Rhinolophus ferrumequinum: one gene and its partners. The protein of the gene in region 2 purifies or fractionates together with the protein of the main gene of each other region. This does not show direct contact. Links are inferred from orthologs where the notes say so. Each region holds a gene or a part of one and is shown on either strand. Other genes may lie near its edges.

Evidence for each region. Proteins that work in one complex are often made in the same cells at the same time.
Region 1: the proteins of PPP2CB (region 2) and CCT6A purify together in Homo sapiens (affinity purification with mass spectrometry; 4 studies listed by BioGRID and IntAct, with this or other methods). This does not show direct contact. The link is inferred for Rhinolophus ferrumequinum from reciprocal best matches to the Homo sapiens genes PPP2CB and CCT6A.
Region 3: the proteins of PPP2CB (region 2) and CEP350 purify together in Homo sapiens (affinity purification with mass spectrometry; 3 studies listed by BioGRID and IntAct, counting the BioPlex papers as one, with this or other methods). This does not show direct contact. The link is inferred for Rhinolophus ferrumequinum from reciprocal best matches to the Homo sapiens genes PPP2CB and CEP350.

The regions. Positions count from the first base shown.
Region 1 is NC_046290.1:99,864,918-99,871,969, forward strand, and holds the start of CCT6A (T-complex protein 1 subunit zeta), read right to left. Parts: upstream 3,065-7,052; 5' UTR 2,925-3,064; coding exon 2,788-2,924; intron 2,353-2,787; coding exon 2,289-2,352; intron 882-2,288; coding exon 747-881; intron 164-746; exon of another isoform or gene 30-163; intron 1-29. UniProt on the Homo sapiens protein: Component of the chaperonin-containing T-complex (TRiC), a molecular chaperone complex that assists the folding of actin, tubulin and other proteins upon ATP hydrolysis.
Region 2 is NC_046287.1:66,957,093-66,964,217, reverse strand, and holds the start of PPP2CB (serine/threonine-protein phosphatase 2A catalytic subunit beta isoform), read right to left. Parts: upstream 3,076-7,125; 5' UTR 2,936-3,075; coding exon 2,834-2,935; intron 1-2,833.
Region 3 is NC_046305.1:12,654,054-12,661,713, reverse strand, and holds the start of CEP350 (centrosome-associated protein 350), read right to left. Parts: upstream 3,065-7,660; 5' UTR 2,707-3,064; intron 1-2,706. UniProt on the Homo sapiens protein: Plays an essential role in centriole growth by stabilizing a procentriolar seed composed of at least, SASS6 and CPAP. Required for anchoring microtubules to the centrosomes and for the integrity of the microtubule network.

The sequences.
Region 1 (7,052 bases), on a different chromosome or scaffold from region 2:
ATCATTTAGACCCTTTAATACAATTAATATAATGTGCTGACTTTCTGAATACATTTAAAAGGATAAATAGTCCTTTCAATGCAGAGGAGAAGAACAGACATTGCTCTAGCACAGAGTCAAAGCCAAGGGAACTATAAAGCACACTTGGGTGTTCACTGTGCAAACTACAAGGAATAATGACAAAAACTCAAGTGTCACAACAACCTGCAGTCAATAGGACCATTATATCTTTTCTATAGGTAATCTGAAATTAATTCATTATCATTTACCAAGAAAAAGTAGACAGGGAGACTAAGAGTCTGCCTCCTGCCTTCCTAAGAAGTTTTTCTTGACATCAGATTAGTATTTATTAAGGTTTGCTTTAACTTTGGACCTACTCAGGGCTAAAAAAAGTTGTAGAATTCTTAAGTCCGTTTTTGGTTGGCTTTTTCCTTATAAATATGCCTAGTCCTGATTTCAATTATTAGTCTACATTATAGACAGACATATGTCATACATGCAATGCAACTTGATAAAATAAGAAACCTTCAGGGCCCAGGAAGGATCTTTAACTTGTCTAGGATCACAATTAATTTGTGTGAGACCAAGATAAAGACTCTGGTTCCCAGATTTAAGCCGCTATGCTCTTCACATTCTACTATATATAGCCTCAGCTACTACTAACACATCAATTTGTATAAATAAAACTCAGATTATTTTCTATACACAATAAAGTATCACAGAAACACGTAAGAATCATGTAATACTTCAGAAATGTACAGATCCGCCTGTTTCAGCAGTTCTCCAATGATTAGGACATTGGAAGTGGTACCATCACCAGTTATGTCATCCTGGGCTGTTGCTACTTTGGCTATTAAGGAGGCTGTTGGGTGTTGAATTTGCTGAAAGTAGAAAAAGGAAAAAAAAATTAAGTAACTTGAAACAATACAAATATACCTTAAAATGTGAACGGCATCCTTAAATGCTATGTATTTGCACAAATTACCCAAGTGTTCAGCTACATATTATTTTGATTAAGAAGTCACCATTAGCTATTTTGCATTGTTTCTGACGACCAAAATATTGTCATGTATATATTTCTCAAGATTATCTCCACTTTATTGATAAGGAAATTTGACGCTCAATTAAGGGCTTTTGGTGGGAATAAATCAGGTAACTTCTAAAATAAAAGTTTAGCAGCCTCCAATATTATTCGGCATCAAACAATTAAAAAGAAATAGCCCTCCTAGCAAAGGTCATCAGTGGATGCTAAATCACTGCATGGGAAGGCTTTGGAAGAACAGGGTATTCTTCAAGTCTCCAATATCACGCACAGATTCTTAATGAGAAAGGATTCAAACAAGGCTCCTGCACTGCTTTTGCTTTTTACCCTTTAATCTTCAGATCGTTGGGGACATTGACAGTTTTAAGAATCCAGCCCAATTACCTTGTAGACTATCTCATTATCTACATTTGCTATTTTTGGCAAGACCAACACAGAGGTGACACTGTATACTTCTGTTTCCTTTACAGTTTCTTGTTAAGCTATAAATGTTTAATGTGCTTCTCTATGTTTATGCTGTATTTCACAATTTAAAAAATCAAGTAAAATAAAAAAAAAAACCATGTAGCTACGTCTTTTCTGATATTAAGTTTCAACTATGACTCCAAGTGTTCTCAGCCAGCACAGGCCACTGATTACATTTGGATGCTGAAGGCATGGTACCCTACTATCAAAGCCCTACATTTTATTCTTAACTCAAAACACAGGCAAGTCATTTCCTTTTCTTGGATTTGAACTGCTAAGTTTTGGGAACTTATGGATGTGTAAAATTTTTGATCCTCTCAATAATCTCAGATTCTTGGTCACAGGACTTTTAAAATGGTTAAGCAAGGCGTTTTATCTCCCCTCCAGTTGAAGATGGAAGAGATGACAGGTAACAGAGAAATTGCTGTTTTAAAGAGACAAAGTACAAACAACCTGTCTCATTCTGCCTATGTGAATGTGTCAACTGCTTGGTTTTCAGATTAGAATCTTAATAATTTCAATCCTTTAAAGGCCTTAAATGACAAGACCTTTGTCTTATTCATAAATAAGTATCAGACTCCAGGGCTCCTCACTGTAACATACTGTGGCTACCATTACTGATTAGACTACTTTCCTACTCTCTCCATTGTCTGTAAGACTGGCCTGTTGAGAGGTGATGAATATGATTTCCTCCTACCTTGAGAATAAACATTAAACATCTCCCTACAAATTAAACCTCCAATGCAAACCAAGACCTTTTAAACGTATAGCAGCCTCTCACCATTTCATGAAGCAGCACGTTGCCATCCTTAGTAAGCTTGATATCTCCAGCACCAGAAACAAGCCTGTTCAATGAGCAGAAACGAAATCAATGTGACTTTTTCAACGGAGACCAAACTGACTCCCATCGACACCACGCTTTACCCAGATCCTAAGAAGCCGCACGCGGCCATTAAGTTGGTCGTCCACTCCCGGTTAACAGGAATGGCGCAGTGCCCACCCCCTCCCTTCTGAGAAACAGTGTGCCGCGCGTCCTCAGGGTCGCTTTAGTCCCAGAGATCCGCGCACGAGGGCAGCTTTGTTCTCTGCGAAGGATGCATCGACTACAAGAGAAAACAGCCGGGGCAGGAAACAGGCCTGACATGGGAACGGGGGTAAAAGGGGAGAAGCAACGGGCGCACAGGCCCGGAAGCAGCGGGCTGGAGACCACGACTGCCGGCATCGCGGCCACACGAGGTGCGCGGTGCCCGCCCGGCCCTCCCCCACCAGCCCCGCCTTACATCTTCATGGTGCCCTTAGGCCCCAAGTTGGTCCGCAGCACGTCCTGCAGCCCCCGGGCCGCGCTGATGTTGACCGCCAACGCAGCCTGGGCTCGGGCCACCTCGGCCTTGGGATTTAGGGTCTTCACAGCCGCCATAACTGACCCAGCAGCAGAAAAAGAAAACAGCAGGCGTGAAGATCGCCCACAGCCGGCTCAGCGTGGCCCAGCGGCGCTATCCGGGTCTTCTGGAAAAGTCGGGCGCGCCCTGCCCGCCCCCAGCGTGCCCACGCGCCGCCCTCATTGGGCCGCCGGTCGGCCGGCGCCGCTCATTGGGTCTTGGTCGCATGGCCGGCCGCCTGCGGCCCCGCCCCTCACTCCCGGGCTTCGGCGCCATTGCGCAGGGAGGCGGGGAGCGTGTTCTCGAGCGGTAAGGGCTCCCGAGCTTCCGGTGTCCTCGCTGGCTTTGCTAACCGAGCCCTGAGGACATAGCGGGGGCCGACCGAGTCCCGCTCAGCGGGAGGTTGGGGCTGTGGGCCGCGCGCCCGTCCGCCTCTTGGGTGACTAGAGAGCTGGCGCTCCTTCCTGGAGGTCTCTGACCGCAGGTTGTACAGTGGCCTCCCTCCCTCCGGAGTTTGCTTTGTTTCCTGCCCTTCTTTTGTCCCTGTCACCAGTTTTCTTGACTGCATCCTATGTGCTTGTTAGTGTTCTAGGTCATGTGGGGCTACTGTAGTGAATCTGACTAGGATTGTGAATGGAAAAGGGTTATGTAATAAACTTGACAGGCTCAGCGGGGCCACGTGCAGTCCTGACAAACTCAGTGATGAAAAGTAACCACCCAAGATTGTCTGATCACAAATTCCTAACTGGGCAGGTAATAGCAGGTCGGCCTACATCTTCCGTAGCAAAGGTTAGCCTTTACCTTAAGGGAACTCGAGCCATAGCGTAGGCGTCTAGGATAATGTATCTTTGAAGTGTCCGAGTAATTTTCTTTTCCAAAGGCACAACTGCTGGCACCAGAGCACAAGACCACAGAGCCCCTCATTATGTTGTTTCCCAGGTACCATCTCTGTGTGCTGTAAATGTTACTATCCTGTACCCACCAGTGTAAGAAGCGTGTTTCTTCCTTTTGCCTTTTATGGAATCCCAGAGATTTCTCTGCTATGCTTTCTTCCACCTCCTTAATGGACCACCAATGGATTTCATGTAACCCTCCTTATGCCTCCTTTGATTCTAATGTATAAAATAAGCTGTGAAACTGCCATTCTCCGGAGCATTTTCTCACTCCATTGAGATTTTGCTTCCCAGCATAAATAAACTCATAAAAATAAATAAACTCATAATTCTCTACAGGTTTAGATGTTTCTTATTCTTGCCTAGTATCCTAGGTGTTTTAGGTCTAGGGAAGACGAAGAGATACAATGCAAGGGAGAATGCAAGGGAGAAAGTGCTAGATGCCTTTAGAAATCTGTGGGATTGGTGTGGACTTTGAGGAGAAGCAAGTCAGTTCACCCTCTGGGCTCAAAACTCACTGCTGAGGCCTTAGACCCTCAAGGCAAGTTTGAAAACTCAAACTTGATTGAGCAGTGTTGTCCAGCCTTTGAGAGGACACTGAAGACAGAAAAATTCTGAAAAAAATATCTACAATTGTTTTCTAGCATCCAGTTCCCCCACCCCTCCAAGTACGAGGTATTCAGTAATGTTTTGTTTTTTATTTTTATAGATAATGAAAATTGTTCAGAATTCAAAAGGTACCAAAGGGTATATGATAAAAGTAAGACTTCTTCCTGCTGGTATAACTTCCTCCAAACAAGCATAGTTAAACCTTTAGATGCTCTGAATTCTCCCAGATGCTTTCTGAATTTAGAAATAAATACTGGGGTGCCAAAAAAATGTATACAAGTGGACACTTTGGTCAACATTACTCAAGCAGTAGTTAGCCCTAATCAGAAGTGTTTGGACACTGATGGTAACTGCTTTGGGCCCCTCCTGTAATTGCAGAGGTCAAATGTGACTTGTATTCATCTTTTGTTATTGGTATATACTAAGTATTATGATTTTAATACAGTTTTCCTTTCTTAAAATGTGTATACTTTTTTTGGCACCCTCTGTACATACATAAATATAAGCATTTTCCCCTCACAAAATGGCAATTTATAATACACAGTGTTGGGTGTGTTAAAGTACCTTGGAGATTGTAAAATATCAATGCAAGTGGATTCCTCATTTTTGTCCCCAATTGTATTAATATCTTTTTATTCTTTTGGTAATCTCTTCCAGAGTTAACTACTTCCGTTTGCAGGTGATGAAATGTCTAAGGAATCCACTTGAAATGTTTACTGTGAGCATGGTCTTTCCCTTCACTCAACTCTGAATTTAGACTTTTGATCCTTGTTTTTTATATTCCAGTCCCAGTAGTTTTCATTGTAGAAGTTATCTGAAGACAGTCTTACACTTTATAGTAATGGTCTAACAGGCTCTAGCTTCTCCAGGAACACTACACAGGAATGGTTTTAAATGTGTATTAAACTAAGAGACATTCTCTCAAAAGAGTTTAAATGCATTTTATTTTTAGACAATCTACATGATATGATTGTCTTAAAAACAATGCCTCCACTCCAAATAAATCAAGGTGAAAATAAATGGAACAGCTCAAGATAACATCAGTCCTATTTGTTCTAGACCGGGGAGTGGATGAAAAGCAGCAGCTAGTTATGATGACAGGTGATGGATCCCAATGGCCAACTCTGTTAACATTTTTCCATTTCTAAACCATCCTTAAAGAAAATCACCTATGGGGTCACACCATCCTCACAGTCGTCCAACAGAGCAACCGTGCCATCTGGATTCAGGTTTTCAACAATAAAGAACTGGTAGTTTTTTGAAATTAGCAAGGATGTACTTGATTTGTTCTGCAGCCCCTGTCATAAAAGGTTTTACTCTTTCTGGTCTCTGTTCTTCAAGTTTCCCTCTGAGGGATTTCATCATTTTGTACTTCTTGTAGGCTTCTTTTGTGAAGCTGTCTTCCTGCTAATGATGGTTCATGACAATGTCAACACAAGCGACTACTGTGCTTTCAGGACCTTCGCCCTCCAGGCCTTCAGCCGAGGTATTTCCACCAATGAGGGAGTCATCAGTATCACCCTCTGTTCTACTGACCATCTTCCCCTCCACCTCCAGGCACAGCCCATCCTCAGTCTCCTGGATCTTGTAGATGTTGGAGAACATCTCATCGTGGCTGATTTGGTCCCAGTAGATCATCACGACGGTGGCTGGAAAGACACAACAGTGGCACTGGCTTAGCAGGAGCTGGGAGTGAGCACGATGCAGCCCAGCACTGCTGGGGGGAGGGGGAGCAGGTGAAAACAGCGGGATTCCTCATGAACAGCTGCATGATATTCTTTGTAAGAATGACATAGTTACCCAGTCACCTACTAATGGACGTTGAGGTTGTTCCAGATCTTCTATTCAGGCTACAGTGAATATCCTGGTATATAATGCTTTTATGTAGGCTTGTATATTTGAAAATCCCAAAAGTATCTACATAAGTTTGAGTGATAGTATAACACAACACAGTAGAAGGAGCCCCATGATGTTACTTGCTGTGCATGCAGATTTATTTAGCTACTGTTAGAGATGTGTGGGAGACATGAACAGAGATGAAGATTGTGGAACTTCAGTCATCTACTTGCAGGTAGGGAAAGGGGTAGTGTAAAGACTTCCACTCTCCTGAGGTGCAAAATTTAAGAGGCACCCAAAACTCAGTAATCAAGATGAATGCTTTAATGCAGTTATTTTTGCAAAATTTATGCAAAAAATCCATAATGAACAAATACCAGAATATTAGATTAGGCATCTCCACTAACATCATACCAGGAATTAGACAAAGTCAGCAAAACAAGGACCCTCATTATTCCTCTAGAGGCAAGCTATTTGCATATATCATTCTTCTAGTCTTAGTTATCACACTTTCAAGCAAATTAATTCTTTCCAGTATATGATGCAAAATAAAGTAGCAGGGGAGTGTTGCCTGTATGCTAATGTATGTATAGGATGGGAGAACTTTAGAATGTTGTTTGGAGAATTTTAAACAAAAAGTCACATTGTGGGAGCAGACCCATAGTATGCCATGATTGAAGAAATAGAGGTGGCGGCAGGTGTTCAGCTATTTGAATCAGGAGGGATTTCAATAAAGAACATTTTAAGGAAAGAACCCTAATGAGGCAGGGTGGTGTATTGGAAAGTATCCCAGAGTGAAATAATTTGAGTTTGAATTCTAGTTTGCAA
Region 2 (7,125 bases):
AAGGTTGAGCAAGTATTAAGTAGACCAAAGGAGGAGTAAAGTTACTTCACACAATTACTACTAATCCCAGTACTCTGTGCTTCAGATAACAGGGATCACAAGAAATACTGAAACTATTTTTCAGGATTCCCTAGCCACTATACAGAAAACCTCTTTTGAAGTACATTCACCAGAGAGAGTCTTAACAACCCATCTATTTATTCTGCATCTTTTTCTAAAAGAAAATGGGGTGACAGATTTAAAACAAGATACAAGAGCTATTTTTTTTTTTTTTGCATTTCTTAGGTCCTTTCTTTTATACCAAATCTAATGTATAATACAACAATGTGTACATACGTTATATAATTTCCCAGCATCTCCCACAGCACGTTCAACACACTGTCACTTATGCAAGAGCCAGAATCAGACACAGATATAAGAACATAATTTGTTAAAAGCTCTTTAAGATTTTAAGCTAATTTAGTCATTTCTAAAATAAAGTATTTGACCCCACATATAAGGGAACTGGATGAACCAAACAAAAACAAACGAATTTCAACAGACAACTTTAAAGCAAAGTCGGTTAAATGGTTATTTTTAGTTTTAGTTTCTCTTCATTTAACATTCATTGAGTGCCCCAGGATTTTACACAGGTAATATCTTAATATTCACAACCAACCCAGGAGATGGGCAAGTATTATCCCTGTCTCACAGGTATGGAATAAGAGGTGCAAAGAGGCAGCAGCTATCAAGTTGTGGAACTCTGGCTGACTACTCCAGTCCCTGATACATAAACACTACACTTGTCAGGAAAAAGGAGGATGGGGCAGAGATATAAAATAGAACCAGAGATTAAGGTTAGCAGGTAAAATATGTATACATACCACAAAGGGATGCCACAGTTGCTGGAAGAGGGCTGAAAAACTAAGCAGTGCTCAGAAGAGTAGAGAGAAATACTATTACTGGACTCCATCCATTGGCAACTCCATCAAAGGGGTGGAGGACAATGATAAAGGGGGATTTTCACTTACAAACTCGTGTTTAGTGCATAAGTACAAATATTCAAAGAAAAAAGTGGGTAAGATCTAAGCTTAAATATACCTACAAGATCCTAGGGACTGGTAGTCCAAGTTATTCAGGAGCTGAAGTAAAAACTAATCTCTCTTGACAAATACAGAAAATTTCCTCACATGATTAAGACTCAAGTGTGATTGAGTAGTGATACAATATTATTCTCTAGGAATACATCTTAAAATTATTAGTCAAACGGAAAACGAATTCAACTCCCACCTTTGTCCATAATTTCAAGACTATATGTAATGTTCACAGTGAGGGTAACTGACTCAGCTAATTTCAAAACTGGGTATTTCACTTGACACTAGAGAGAGAAATATTGAGAGAGAAAGATTTAAAACATAAATTTGAAGACTCATGAAATTATAGGTTATCACACAAGAAAAACGAATATCTTCTTGAAATTATAAGCAAATAGTCTGTTTCAGAAAAGAGAAAAATACCACTTGCCTTGGCAGTTCTACCTACAGAAATAAATTCTGTTACCAAATTTTACATATTAAGGCCCTATACAACATTACACTTGTTAAAAACACTACTTTCACTTAATATTAGTTATTACTCCTCCATCCCTAAGTAAATTGCTTAATTTTGAGTCCCCTATTAACAACACTGACAAAATCTTTTGTTCTCCAATGTGTTTCTGAGGCATCCTGACTTCCAAACAAAATGATCAAGTCTAAAAATACAAACCAACCCAACAGCATTAAAGAAGAAATAATCTCCTTACTCCTTCACTGAGGAATTTTTATGTAAAAATGTGTCAAAATTATTTAGTCCAAGATTATAAAAGACGAGTGAGAAAAGCTCTAGATTTTAAAGTAACTAAGATAGAGAGTGCAAAATAATTCCAGCGGGTAAGGAAACAATAGATACAAAATTCAGAAAGTTGTCTAAGATCACACAATCAAGAATGACTGTAAACAGTTAACCACCTGCATATTTTATTACTCTTTGGCACAGGGAAAAAAAAAAACCCTTTATATATAATAGAAACGGAAAGGATTTTCTGAAAAGTGCTACCCTACACGAAAAACACGTAACCCATTTATATTTCAAGAAAGCACTGTTTCCAAACTTAAGATTTGCTGTCTTTCTGAAAATCAACATTTTGCTTCCAAGAGTCTCTCTATGGGAAGACCAGTCACCATCTGTTACAACTAAAGTCAAAGTCAACCTCTATTTTAGAAATCACAGTCTGCCATCACACCCACCTCTCTACAAATGCTTGACACATTCCAAATTAGCGATTTTTGAAAGGCCCATTCACCTGCGAAAAAAGCTCCCATTTATAACAAGTTCGTTAACATTAGCAACATCCAGGTTGGTTTTCGGTGCATTTTAAAAAAATTTTTATAAGATTTTATTGGAGCCAAACTGACAACATTGCCAAGAAGAAAGATCTCAGATGCTCCCGATGCATTTTCTGATAAGAGATGGTATTAGAATAACTGGCCGGCGTGTGGACTAGCAAGCGCCGAGATTGCTAGTCCACACGGGAAATACTGGAGTGTAACTCCCCAGAAGAATGTCAGTGACTCCCAAAAACACAGAAAGTGGATTCCAGGTGCCACGTTTCTCCTGCCCGTCTACAAGGACCCGAGGCCAGTAACGTGAGCATCCGCCGGGGAGGCAGAGGTACCCGGAGAGGCCAGCTCAACGCCCCGGATTTTGGACGGGCTGGGCCCCGCGGGTCACAGAGTGGACGGCCCGGGGAGGAGAGGGGCCGCCGCCCGCTCCAATCAGCCCCCCGCTCCCGCATTTCTCTTTTCTCTCTTACCTTTTCGCAGAGCGTCCGCACTTGGTTCTCGTTCAGCTGTTTACACTCGTTCAGCTGCTCGACCCACTGGTCCAGCTCCTTGGTGAATGCCTTGTCGTCCATGGCTGCCGGATCCCCGGCCCCGCCGCTGCCCTCCCCCCTCCCCGCCCCACCCTCGCCCGCCCCGGGCGCCGCTCCCCTCTCCCGCCGCCGCCGCCGCCAGCTCCCAGCGGGAGAAGGAGCCGGGGAGCGCGGCCGCCGGCCCCGCGCCCCGCCCAAGCCCAGCGGGCGGCTCCGGGAGCGCGGCCTCCAGGAGACCCCCGGCCGCTCTTGCCCGCCCGGCCGCGCGCCCCGGGTGTCGCTGGGAGGCGCGGGGAGGTGTGGGGGAGCGCGGCGCGGGTCTTCGGTGCAGCTCCCTCCTGACGATGGCCACCCGCCGCCGCCTCTCCCCGGCAGGCCTCTCCCGGCTCTCTGGCCCTTTCTGTCCCCTCGCTCTCTCTGTCCCCTCCCTCCGGGTTTCCGTCATCGCCTGGGCATTTCCGCCGAGAGAAAGGCGAGCAGGCAAAGGACCCGAGGAAGGCTGCTGCGCCCCCGCGTGGCTCGGCGGAGAAACGGTCCGAAAGAGCCAAAGATTCCACCGCTTTCTCCCTCTTCTTTTCTTTGTTCTTCCTCACTTCGGGTGCAGACCCAGCTCGCCTGGTTCTTTCTTCACATCGTTTTCTCTGGGAACCTTGTCCCCACCTTGGTCTCCTGCAGTGCTTTTTCAGCGCTCTGCAAAGGGATTGGGGAAGCTTGTGCCTTTCCTCAACAACACTGTCTCCCCAGAGTCTAGCACTCTCCCAACAGGCATTCAATATTTATTGAGTAAGTGAATGCTTTCTAGCCTTGTCTCTGCCATTAACTAGGTGTGGGGCCCTAACATCTCGAATCTACCCTTTCAGCATCAGAAAGATGAGATGATCGTTGTGTATTATATTTATCTGTGTCCCTTCCAGCTCCAGTATTATACACTGCGTTTGCCGCAGTGTTTATGCAATGTTCTAATAATTTGTTCATTCGCCAAGTATTTATCGAGCGACTGCTAACTGCCAGTTCCCTGGAAGAGCATATTTCCTCTTGTTGCCGCTGAACCCAAGAGGGAGGCAACATCCAGTATCAGAAGGCAAAGGTTTCAATCTTGGTTTTGCCAACTGTGTAGCTGTGTTCTTTCTTGGACAACCACCAAATCTCCCCAAGCCTCCAAGTCCTCATCTGTTAAAAGGGCTCAGTAAGGCCTACTTTTTCAGTTTGTGAAGATTAAATTTTTACAAGTGCCTATCCAATAGTACAGTATTTGAGCAATCTAATAGTTGCTTATCCCTTCTAGGCAACAGTTAGAAAAAACTTTAGAAAGGTGGATTTGAACTGAATTTTGAAACTTCTCCCTAGGCAAAACCTTGAAGTTGCCTGGAGTAGAAGACGTTCTAAGGAATTTGTTTTGTGGCAGAGGACAAATGTGTGAAAGACCACACACGTGTGGAAAGTTATAAATATGCCCATCCATAGAAATAGGTCATAGAGTGGGAAATAAGGCTGGAAGAGCTCCTGCTCTTAAGTGCCTTGTATATAGTAGCAAACCAACTAAGGACAAAAGATGAAAAGGTGATGAAATGCTACTGCAGAGAAAGGGTACCTGTATGATTGTGAGAGAAATTGCAGTCTCTGAAGAGGTTCGTCTATAAAGAACTAAAGGAGGCTGGATTTCAGCTAAGCCTGGAAAGCTCAGAATGAACATGAGTGGTATTTTCTGAGTATCTCATTTAGTCCCTTTATTACAACCCTATGAAGTAGGTGCTTTTATTATTGTTTCAATTAACCAAATGAGGATAGTGAGGTAGAGAAGATAAGTGACTGGCCCAAGGTCACTCAGACGGAGCTGGAAAATGAAGCCAGGTAGCCAGAGCCTATGCTCTTGAACCTCTCTGCTATATTGTCATCAGTCCTGTCAATAATTTTGTTTAATGCTGTTTAAAAAGGCTCGGCCCCCAGATTCCATGACTATGTTATGTATTTTATATACATATATAAGAGGAATATATAATTTACTGTAATTTTCTACTAAAATCGTGCAATACTTTTTTTGGTGATTTTTCTTATTGTGGTAAAACATAAAATTTACTATTTTATCCACTTTCAAACATGCAATTCAAGGCATCAGAGACATTCACAATGTTGAACAACTCTCATAACTATGCTTTCCAGAACTTTTTCATAATCCTAAACTCTGTGCCAATTAAGCAATAATTGTCATTCCCCTAATATACATGTACTTTCATATATTATCATAAACCTCAGAAAAGCCCTTACCCTGACACCCTAAAGAAACATTTGGTGCTTACTCTAATATTCTTGAGTTATCTAGATTATTGATTTAATTCTAATTTTCACTTTCCCATATTATACCATAGTCCATGGATTCTAAGATACCATTTTTTTCCCCTTCAGTTTAACATCTCTGAAATTGAGTCTCATCTTACAATTAATGACATCTTATATTTAATCAAATCCCCTGAAAATGAGGGTTCATAGCTGTGTTCAAGTTACTTTAATTTGGTTTCTCTCTTCCCTTCATTTCAGTGTGCGGTGATAGTATTCATTTAAGAGTTAAATTTGTTTCTGCTTGCATATAGTTTGTTACTCCCATCCTTATTAATTTAATTTTCTTGGTATGTAGAACATTATCCAAGCTTCCAACAGTAAAATTTATCCAAAAAGGTGAATGCAGGAAAATGTCATTCTTTCACTTATTCCTTTCTCCCTGTTCTCTACTCTTTGTAGGTAACCAGCTTCATTGTTTTGTTTTATTCCTGAGTTATTTTATGCAAAAACATGCATATATATTTCCCCTTCTTTCTCATGTAAAAGGTAACATATTCTAGGTCTTCTTTTGTACTCTGCTTTTCTCAGTGAAATATTTCACAGAAAACACTCATTGGTTCATAGGAATTGTCCTCATCTGTTTACAACTACATAGTCCTCCACTGGTGTACGTAACGTAGTTTACTCAGTTATAGCTAAGTGGGCCCTTAGGTAATTACCAGGACTTTGCAATTACAAATAATACATTTATATTTTTATATTATTGAAGATTTATTATCAGGATAAATTCCTGGAAGTAGGGTTACTGGGTCAGAGAGTAAAAGCGTATATGGTTTCAATAGACATTGTACAACTTAACATTCCCACAAGCAATGTATGAGAGTGTCTGTTTCCCCACAACTTCTCCAACATGGTACATGGTCAGCTTTTAAAATTGTGCCCATCTGATAGGTGAGAAATGATATCTCAGTGTATTTTTAATTTCATTTCTAGCTTGTTTTTTTTTTTTCCTTTTTCTCCAAAACCATATTACTCTGCCTGGCTTACTTGTGAATAGTCCCCTAGGTCTGTAGCAGGGATGCAACTTAATACATCTTTTGACAATTGAGCTTAAGACATTTAGAGTCTTGGTTAGCACTATATCTAGCTTATTGTCATCGTAACACTTTTTATAAAGTTAAATTTTAAGTTGCGATAGTTACATGATAATTTTTAAAATGCATGGATATAATTTATATCCTTTCATAGTTTGGTATGCAAATTAACTCCCCCCTTTTTTGGATCTCAGACACACTGGTATAATCAATCCTCTTATTCAAAGGCACATTATCAAGATGTCTGTGCAAAAATCCTTGTTTTCCCCCTTCATCCTTAATATACTATCTCATCTCTCTGGAAAAGCATCCTCCAATGTATTGGGCATATATCCTAAATTATCCATGTAAAATATATAGTATTGTGTTTCATGTGCATATATATTGGTATTGTGCTATACATTTCATTGGTTCTAACTTTTCACTAAATGGTGATCATTACGATGTTTAGTGTTTGGCTTCTAAGTAGTTCTGTTACCGATTCAAGTTTTGTGCGCCCGACACTTCACAGTCCAATAGTCATAAACGTCAGGGTTTGGAATAAGGAAAAGTTTATTGATCGAGAAGGCATTAGCTAGAAAATATGGGGACCTTAACACTTTTGCAAATCTATCTTAAAAGCATCCCAAATTCAAGGGGAGGAGGGTGGGGCAAGAGGTGGGTGAGGACTGTAGACAAGTATGCACCAACAGGGATCCAAGGAAGAGCTTGAAATCTCTAAATCTCTGTTCCCAGTAGATCCACTGACCCGTGCTGATCTGAATTTGGTCGTGAGGCTCTTGTAAATCTTTGATAAGCAGTCATTGATTGTTTTGTACATATTTCCCCACCTCTTCAGAAAGGATGGAGAGGCTCCACAGT
Region 3 (7,660 bases), on a different chromosome or scaffold from region 2:
TGTTTATTGACTGTATTTATTTAGTCAACGTATTCAACCAATATTTATTGCTAGGCACTGGGTGCATAGTAGTTAATAGAGGACCTCTCCCATCATAGAACTTACAGACTAGATGAGAAAGGCAAATAATCACCCAAAATAACCACTAGTAAATATAAAGTTACCCTTGTAATAATCATGAACCAAAAAAATATTAGTGCAGAAAACAACTACGCAATCGTTCGATTAATCAGGTTTTTGGACTATTTGTGATACTAGAAATTGTTTGACGTGGGGGGAGAAGTAAAGGAAATTATTTGGGGAGCGCCCTTCTAGTTGCTAGATGGGGTGTTGCCCGATTCATGAATCGCTGACTAAAGCCAATTAGATCTTCAAAAAAAGGAGAAAATTATTTCACAACTTGCCCCACACTGCAAAAATACAAATCATGTGTAATTAACTTTTTAAATTATCCATCGTTTCTACAATAAAATCACCAAGATGTTACTACTTTTCAGTTATGCTACTGACCAGGTGGCTTGAATATTCCTTTTACATAACAAGAGAGTATACGCGTATATAATCTGAAGTACCAAAGATGACAGAACTATGAGCATCCAAACAAAATGAGAGACAAATTAACTACAATTGTTAGGAACATTTTTTCAAGCGAAAAGTACATATAGAAGTAAAGCAACCCATTATCATAATTCACGACTTGTTAAAAATTTCAAAATGCTATAAAAACACTGATGTTTTTAAAGAACTGAAAATCATCAGTATGAGGATCAAGTGACATGTCAAAAGGAACAAAAATATTTTTTTTAGATTTTAAAAAAACCAAATGCCAGAAGTCTCTATAATATTCGATTTAAGATAAAACGAATTCTAGAATGTTAATCAGACTTATTGTGATCATTTCACATTATATGTAAATATCGAATCATTATGTTGTACGCCTGAAACTAATGTTATATGTCAATTGTACCTCAATAAAAAATAAATAAAATAAAAACTATTCTCAATCATCTGCAGGAATAAGAGCAGTGTTCACATAAATAAATGAACTTCCTTGTGTGTCGATTTCCACAACTGCAAAATGAGGGTATTTGCCAAACCGACTTCATCCAATTGCTATGAAGATTAAATAAAATAATGTATGTGGAAGCACACCAGAAAATGATGTCAGTTATTTTAGACGGCAGCTTCTTTTTTGCTCCCTCTATAACTCAGAGCAATTTAATAAATAATAAAGTTGGTTAGACAGGAACTTCATCTCCTTTCTTCTGTCCATGATATGGTAGAAGTGTTGGGCAAAAGATTGGCAATCAGAAGCACCAGAAAAAAATTCAAAACTTCCTAATTCATAAGTTGATTACCCTGTTGTTCAAGTGTGAACGGTCTTATATAACACTACACACTAAGTAATCTCCGAGAATCAGAGATATTCTTTCACATACGTACAAAATTGTTTACATATTATAACTTAACCATCATTCTTACAGTGCTGCTACTATGAAAAGATGAGATACACAAGTATTTATCAACACATACAATGTATTCTAGCTTGATGTTTACTTTCTGATTAAAGTATCTTCAATTCAATGCAATGAGGGTTCAATGGTTCATATTTATTTTATTACATTGGAATCTGTCAATTTAGCACACCAAAACAAACTACTACTCGCACGCCCATGGGTTTGAAGCAACTTCTACCACAGGTCTAACAACAATATTTTAAACTAAGACACTTCTGAAATGGGCAGCAGCTGTCAATGTTTTATCATTGCTTCCACAAACCTTTTTCAGGTTGTTACTACCTCTGCCTCAGATAGCCTTTCCTTTAAAACCCTTAAAATACAGGGCAGGAGGAGGCATCGTTAACATGGCAACAGAACCAACCATTAACGACTTTTCCAAATTCAAAACAAGGATCACCATCAAAACAAAACAATCAGGTGGAGTACATGGATACTGATTACTATTCCTGACAACCTGTTTTTTCCTTTATGAAGGATTTTGCTACTACACTAAAGCCACATGAAAATCTATACCTATGCGCAGTTTCCTATCTGAAAACTAAAAATCCAGCCGAATTCCAACCCATATTTATAACATTAGCCAAATATTATTTAGCGTGTTGGGCTACATTTAAAGAGAGGGCGGGGTGGGGGGGGGAGGAAGGAGGGAATGACAACTTTCAAAGCGTAAAGCTTTTTAAATCTCCCCCTTAAATCATTTGTTAATAAATCGGTAGCCTGCATTCAGTAGCTGCTAGACTGGAGCAGAAGATCAAAGTTTTTCCTATACTTGAGAATGTTTATCCCTACCAAAAAGGAACAGAAACTAGTCATCCTTGCCACTGGAGCCAGTTCCCCGGAATTTCCCCAAATATGCCTGATCTCTAAAAGACACTTCGTAGACCAAAGGTGAGAGGCAGCTTACATCTTTTGCAGAAGAGGGTGGGGGGCAGGCATTGGCAGGTAAGGAAGGAAATCCCGTCTCCGGCAGGCACGGGTGGGACTTCAAATCCAGGTCTCAGGATGACCAGCCCCGCCAAGCCTCACGACCCACGGCGGTTCGCCGAGGGGGACGCCAGGCTGGGCCAGAGCCCCCGCGCCCCGCCCCGCCTCCCTCACTGCCACCGAGGGGACCCGGGACCAGGGACAGAAGCAGCAGAGGCTAAGCGAGCGTCCACGGTCCCAGCCAGGTCCTCCCGCAGCTCACCTGAGAGTGTCGCCTCCGCCCTCGGCTCCCACGGTGCATCCCGCGGGGCCTGGCGGAGGGTGCAGTGACGCCGCCCCTACCGGCCCCAGGGCTGCCCGGCCTGGCCTCCCCGCTCCGGGGACGCCCCGGGTGCCCGCTTCGCACCGGCTCCCGGGAGCCGCGGGTCTGCAAAGAAGGGAGAGGCGGAAAGGCTGCCTCTCCTCCCCCACAGCAAGCCAGACCCTCAGCGGCGGCTCTCTGCAGTTCCCTCTGGCGCAGGTCTGGCCCCACTCCCCCGCCCGGGAGTCACTTCGGCAGCGGCGGCCCAGTCGCCATTACAGCCCAACAACTGACACGGAGGAGGAGCGGCGCCGGCAGCAGTGGCGGTGGCGGCGGCGCGAGGCAGGGCGGGAGCAGTAGGGGCCCGGGCAAACCTCGCGAGAACTGTCCCGAGATGGTTCCACAGGAATGCAACCTTCGGTTAGGGCCATGTTGAGTGTGTCCAAAAGGTGAGGCGACATAAACGGAGGAGAGGACCCTCGAGGGCGCCATGATTGGTGTGGCTAAGTTTGAGCCTTGCAGGGCTGGGGAGGAGCCAAAGTAGATCCGCAGCGGAGACCTCCCCCGCCCTCTTCCCCTGATTCTAATTGGGCCTTCTGGCTGCGCCTTTCACCCTCGGCCGAGAAAACAAGCTGGGGCGTTGGCGAAGATGAACTCGAAGTCTAGAAATTGCAGCTTCTCCGAGTTTACGATGTTTCACCAATTGTGCAAATACATCTTCTTTACCCCAGTCAGTTTCAGAGTGATTGCAGCTTTGCGGCTGCTGCTGTTATCTACTGCTGTCACTGTGGCCGTTTTATTCGCAAGGCTTACAATTCTGTTCAGCAAGTACAACGGAGTTTCCTCCCATTAGGAGCTGGCATGGATATAACTGTGCTTTGAGAATCTCTCAGTGATCAGCGTATCTCCTAATATCTTTATCCTCTTGTCCCAATCTCCGCGTGGTGAATTCTATCACCTGTCAAGACTTAACGTAGCATAAATGACAGCTCTTCTGCAAATCAAGCCACCTTCCGCTAGGTGTTCACTGCGTACAAGCTCCCCACCCATCACTTTCTTCCACCTTCTGAAGTCCCATAGCTATTTACCCCGCGACTGTTTCTCATTTGTAAGTCTTTTGAGGATTTTTAAGTGTTTTTTATCTCTCTATACCCCAATGGGGCCTAGCATAGTAACTAGGACTTTGTAGGTGCTCAATAAACGCTTGTTGAGTAGATCAAATCAATAAAAGCAGAAGGCACTAACTGCCCCCTCTTTGGTTAGGGCCTATGGCTTTGCCTGAATAGGAGATATATGGACATACAAAAATCCTGCACAAAAATATGTACTGTGTCTCCAGGAAGGTATGCTGGAGGGAAGAACAGGCAATGTGGGTATTCCACTGGTGCAAGTGGTAGCAAGAAAAACAACATAAAGAAAGAATGATTTAGGTTTTCCCCCAACCTTTCTATGCACAGCAGTGGGGATCGATGTTTTTCATGCTATTTTACTGAATTTATACAGCCACCTTATTAAGTATTATACTCACTTTTTTAAAAAGAGGAAATGGGTTCTGAAAAGTTAAGTAATTTGCCCAGTATTATACCATCAGTAAACGGCAGGTATAAGAGCTGAGGTCTCCCTTACTCCAAAGCCCGTTGATACTTTTCCACCTCCATGCTACTTCCTGGGCAATAGAAAAAAACTCCAAAAGTTCCTGTCACTACATGGGGAGCACTGTTACCTGCATATCAGTCTATGCACCATCTTATTAAGCTTTGTGCTGACTCCTGCCCTCTCCCTCACGTCCCAAATATCAACCTCTCACCTTTTCAACATCCCATAACTCTTACTGTCTATACCCTACAGATTAGCATTCGAGCATATCAAGTGTTATATTATTTGCTCACTGTTTCATGAGAGTAATTAATTCTGGAACAAGATTGGAAGCTTAATGAGAAAAGTTTTGTCACCATTCCCATTGTTTCCACAGTGCTAGGCACATAATAGGTGTTAAATAGGGTCCCTTTTTTTTTCCTACTTCTTAGTTGACACCAAGATTGGATTTTCCTGCACTTTATGGTTTTTGTTGATTACGATGACTTGGACTCCTAGTTTTCTTTGTATAACTGGATCTTGGCCCCAAACTTCTAACTAAACTCTCCACTTGTCTGTTACCCACCTCCACATAGATACAGAAGTCACCAGCACCTCCAGCTCCCAAATTATATCCCACCTATGAATAAAATCATATGGTTCTCAACTTTTTCCTTCTGAATTGTTTCACTTAGCATGATATTCTCAGTATCCATCTATGTTGTCGCAAATGGCAGTATTTCATCTTTTTCTTATGGCTGAGTGATATTCCATTGTGTGTATATATATATACCACATCTTCTTTAATCATCTGTTGAAGGACACTTCAGTTATTTCCATGTTTTGGCAACTGTGGATAATGCAGTGAACATAGGGGTACGTATTTCTTTACGTATGTTTTCAAATTTTTCAGTCAGATACCGAGAAGAGGGATTCCTGGGTCATATGGTAACTCTAGTCTTAATTTTTTGAGGAACCTCCATACTGTTTTCCATCATGGTCGTACCAATTTACATTCCCACCAGCAGGCACCACTATTCTTCTAATTCAGGCTCTCATTTCTACTGCCCAAATGAATTGCGGTTGTCTTCCCAGAGTTCAGAGTGAGTTTTGTCCCTGCTCTCCTCTGCCTGACAACGTAAGTAAAAATTCCTCACCTCAGTCATCAAGACCTTTCTCAATGTGGCCCCAGCCTAGCTTTCTGTCTCCCTGAAGTAACGCAGCATGAAAACATAGAAAAGACAGGGATGTGGTGTCAGGAAGACTTCAAATCTTGGCTCGGTCACTTACTTGCCCTATGACTCCTCAAAAACCTCCATTTTATTGTCTATAAATCAAGGCTAACGATATCTACCCTGTAGGGTTGTCTTAAAAATTAGAAATAACATCTGACAAGAACCTGGCACATAAAAGATAGAAATAAGCAGTGGCTATTAATCCTACCCTAACTGGATGCTAATTTGAGTCAAACTGGATCTCAGACACGGCCGGCTCATTCCTACCTCTAGAACTTTATTCCATAACCTGAACCACATATCCCCTGGTTCACAATTTCTGCCACACTGTTTAAGTACAAGCTCACAAACTATCTACCACAGGAAAAATTTCATGACTGCTCATACTTTGCAGGTACTCTTTCACCCCTGGACTCCACAATGCTGTGTATCTCCCTTAGGGCTGTATGTACTATTGATACTTCTGCATTTATCTTCTACTTCCTTATTCCTTAGACTGTAAAGCCCTTTATCTCCTTAAGAGTGGATTATGAACATGAACTCTGGAGTCAAAAGGGCCTGAATCGAATCAAATAATTTTAGTCAAGGTACTTAACTTCTTTGTGCCTCAGTTTCCACATCTGTACAGTAGAGATTACAATAGTACCTACTCCATAGGGTTTTGTGAGGATTAAAAGAAAGAACACAGGTAAAGGAAATAGCATGGTACTTGGCACATGGTAGGTGCTCAAAAATGTTGGTTATTTTTACTATTTTTAAAATAAATTAAACAGATGCCTGGCATATAGTAGGCACTCACTATTTGTTTAATTGAATTGAATGTTTGTTGAATTTAATTAAATTCTGGGTGAATAGCTACATGTTTTCTCTCCTGAGAATGTGAAATTTGACATTGATCTCTAGACAAAACAAATTGAGAAATGGAGAGATGTAGCTATGGTAATGTAATGAGACCACTCACCATTTGAGGTAAATTGAATAAAATTATGTATCAGGATTGATTAAAGACATTTCTATTTAAATGTCAAGCCTAAATGCCAAATCTGATCTATAATCCTGTCTACTGCCTTTTCAATAATAAATTCAACCATTCAGGTTGCAAATCTAACAAGCTATGCAATTCTAACAAACTATGGAAACACCAAATTTAGGGATGAGTTTTCTGGTTATTTTCTTTTTCTAGATTCAGTCTTGTGGCTTAATCTTGAATTTTTCTAGGGCTTTTTTGTGTTCTGATGTGCAGAATTATGGAAAAACTAAAATTTATCAATAAGAACTTTCTTCAACAAGAAAGTAGGGACAGTCATTTATCTTTATATAAATATTTGTGTGTGAGAGAGTGTGTGTGCGTGAGCATACAAGCCAAGGAAATATTAGTCAGAGAAATCTCTCTGACAAAAGGAGAATAGAAATATCTATGAAGGAAGATTTTAACTGTATTTGACTGTGACGGGATATTAAGTTGGAATTTTTGAGTGAGAGCCAATGACAAAACAATAGCAGCAACCAGCGTAGGGGAGACCAACAGGTTGGAGACCCAGGGAATGGTTGATGTTGCAGGTTGAGTCCAAAGGCAGTCTGCTGGCAGAATTCCCACTTTGTGGGACCTCAGTCTGGTTCTCTTGAAGCCTTCAACTGATTGGACGAGGCCCACCTATATGGCAGGTAATCTGCTTTACTCAAAGTCTACTGATTTAATGTTAATCTCTAAAAAAAAACACCTTTAAACCAACATCTAGACTGGTATTTGACCAAATATCTGGGCACTTGGCCTAGCCTTTGGCACATCAAATTAACCATCACACCAGCCTTTAAGCCACTCCAGCTAACACTAACTGGAGCAGAGACAAGCTGCCCCACCCGGTCCTGCCCAAATTGTAGACTCGTGAGCAATACTGTTATTGAAGCCACTAAGTTTCAGGATAATTTGTTGTGCAGCATTCATAATTGGAAGTTAAATTTCTAACCCATAGTTATTCTATTTCATTTGTAATGTCATTCACATTTATTTTCACATTGTTTTAGGCAGGAGTGATACTAAAACTTTATCACAACCAGTAAGGTTGGGACCCAATCAGAATAGAGCAGGATCAGAGGCCCCGTCT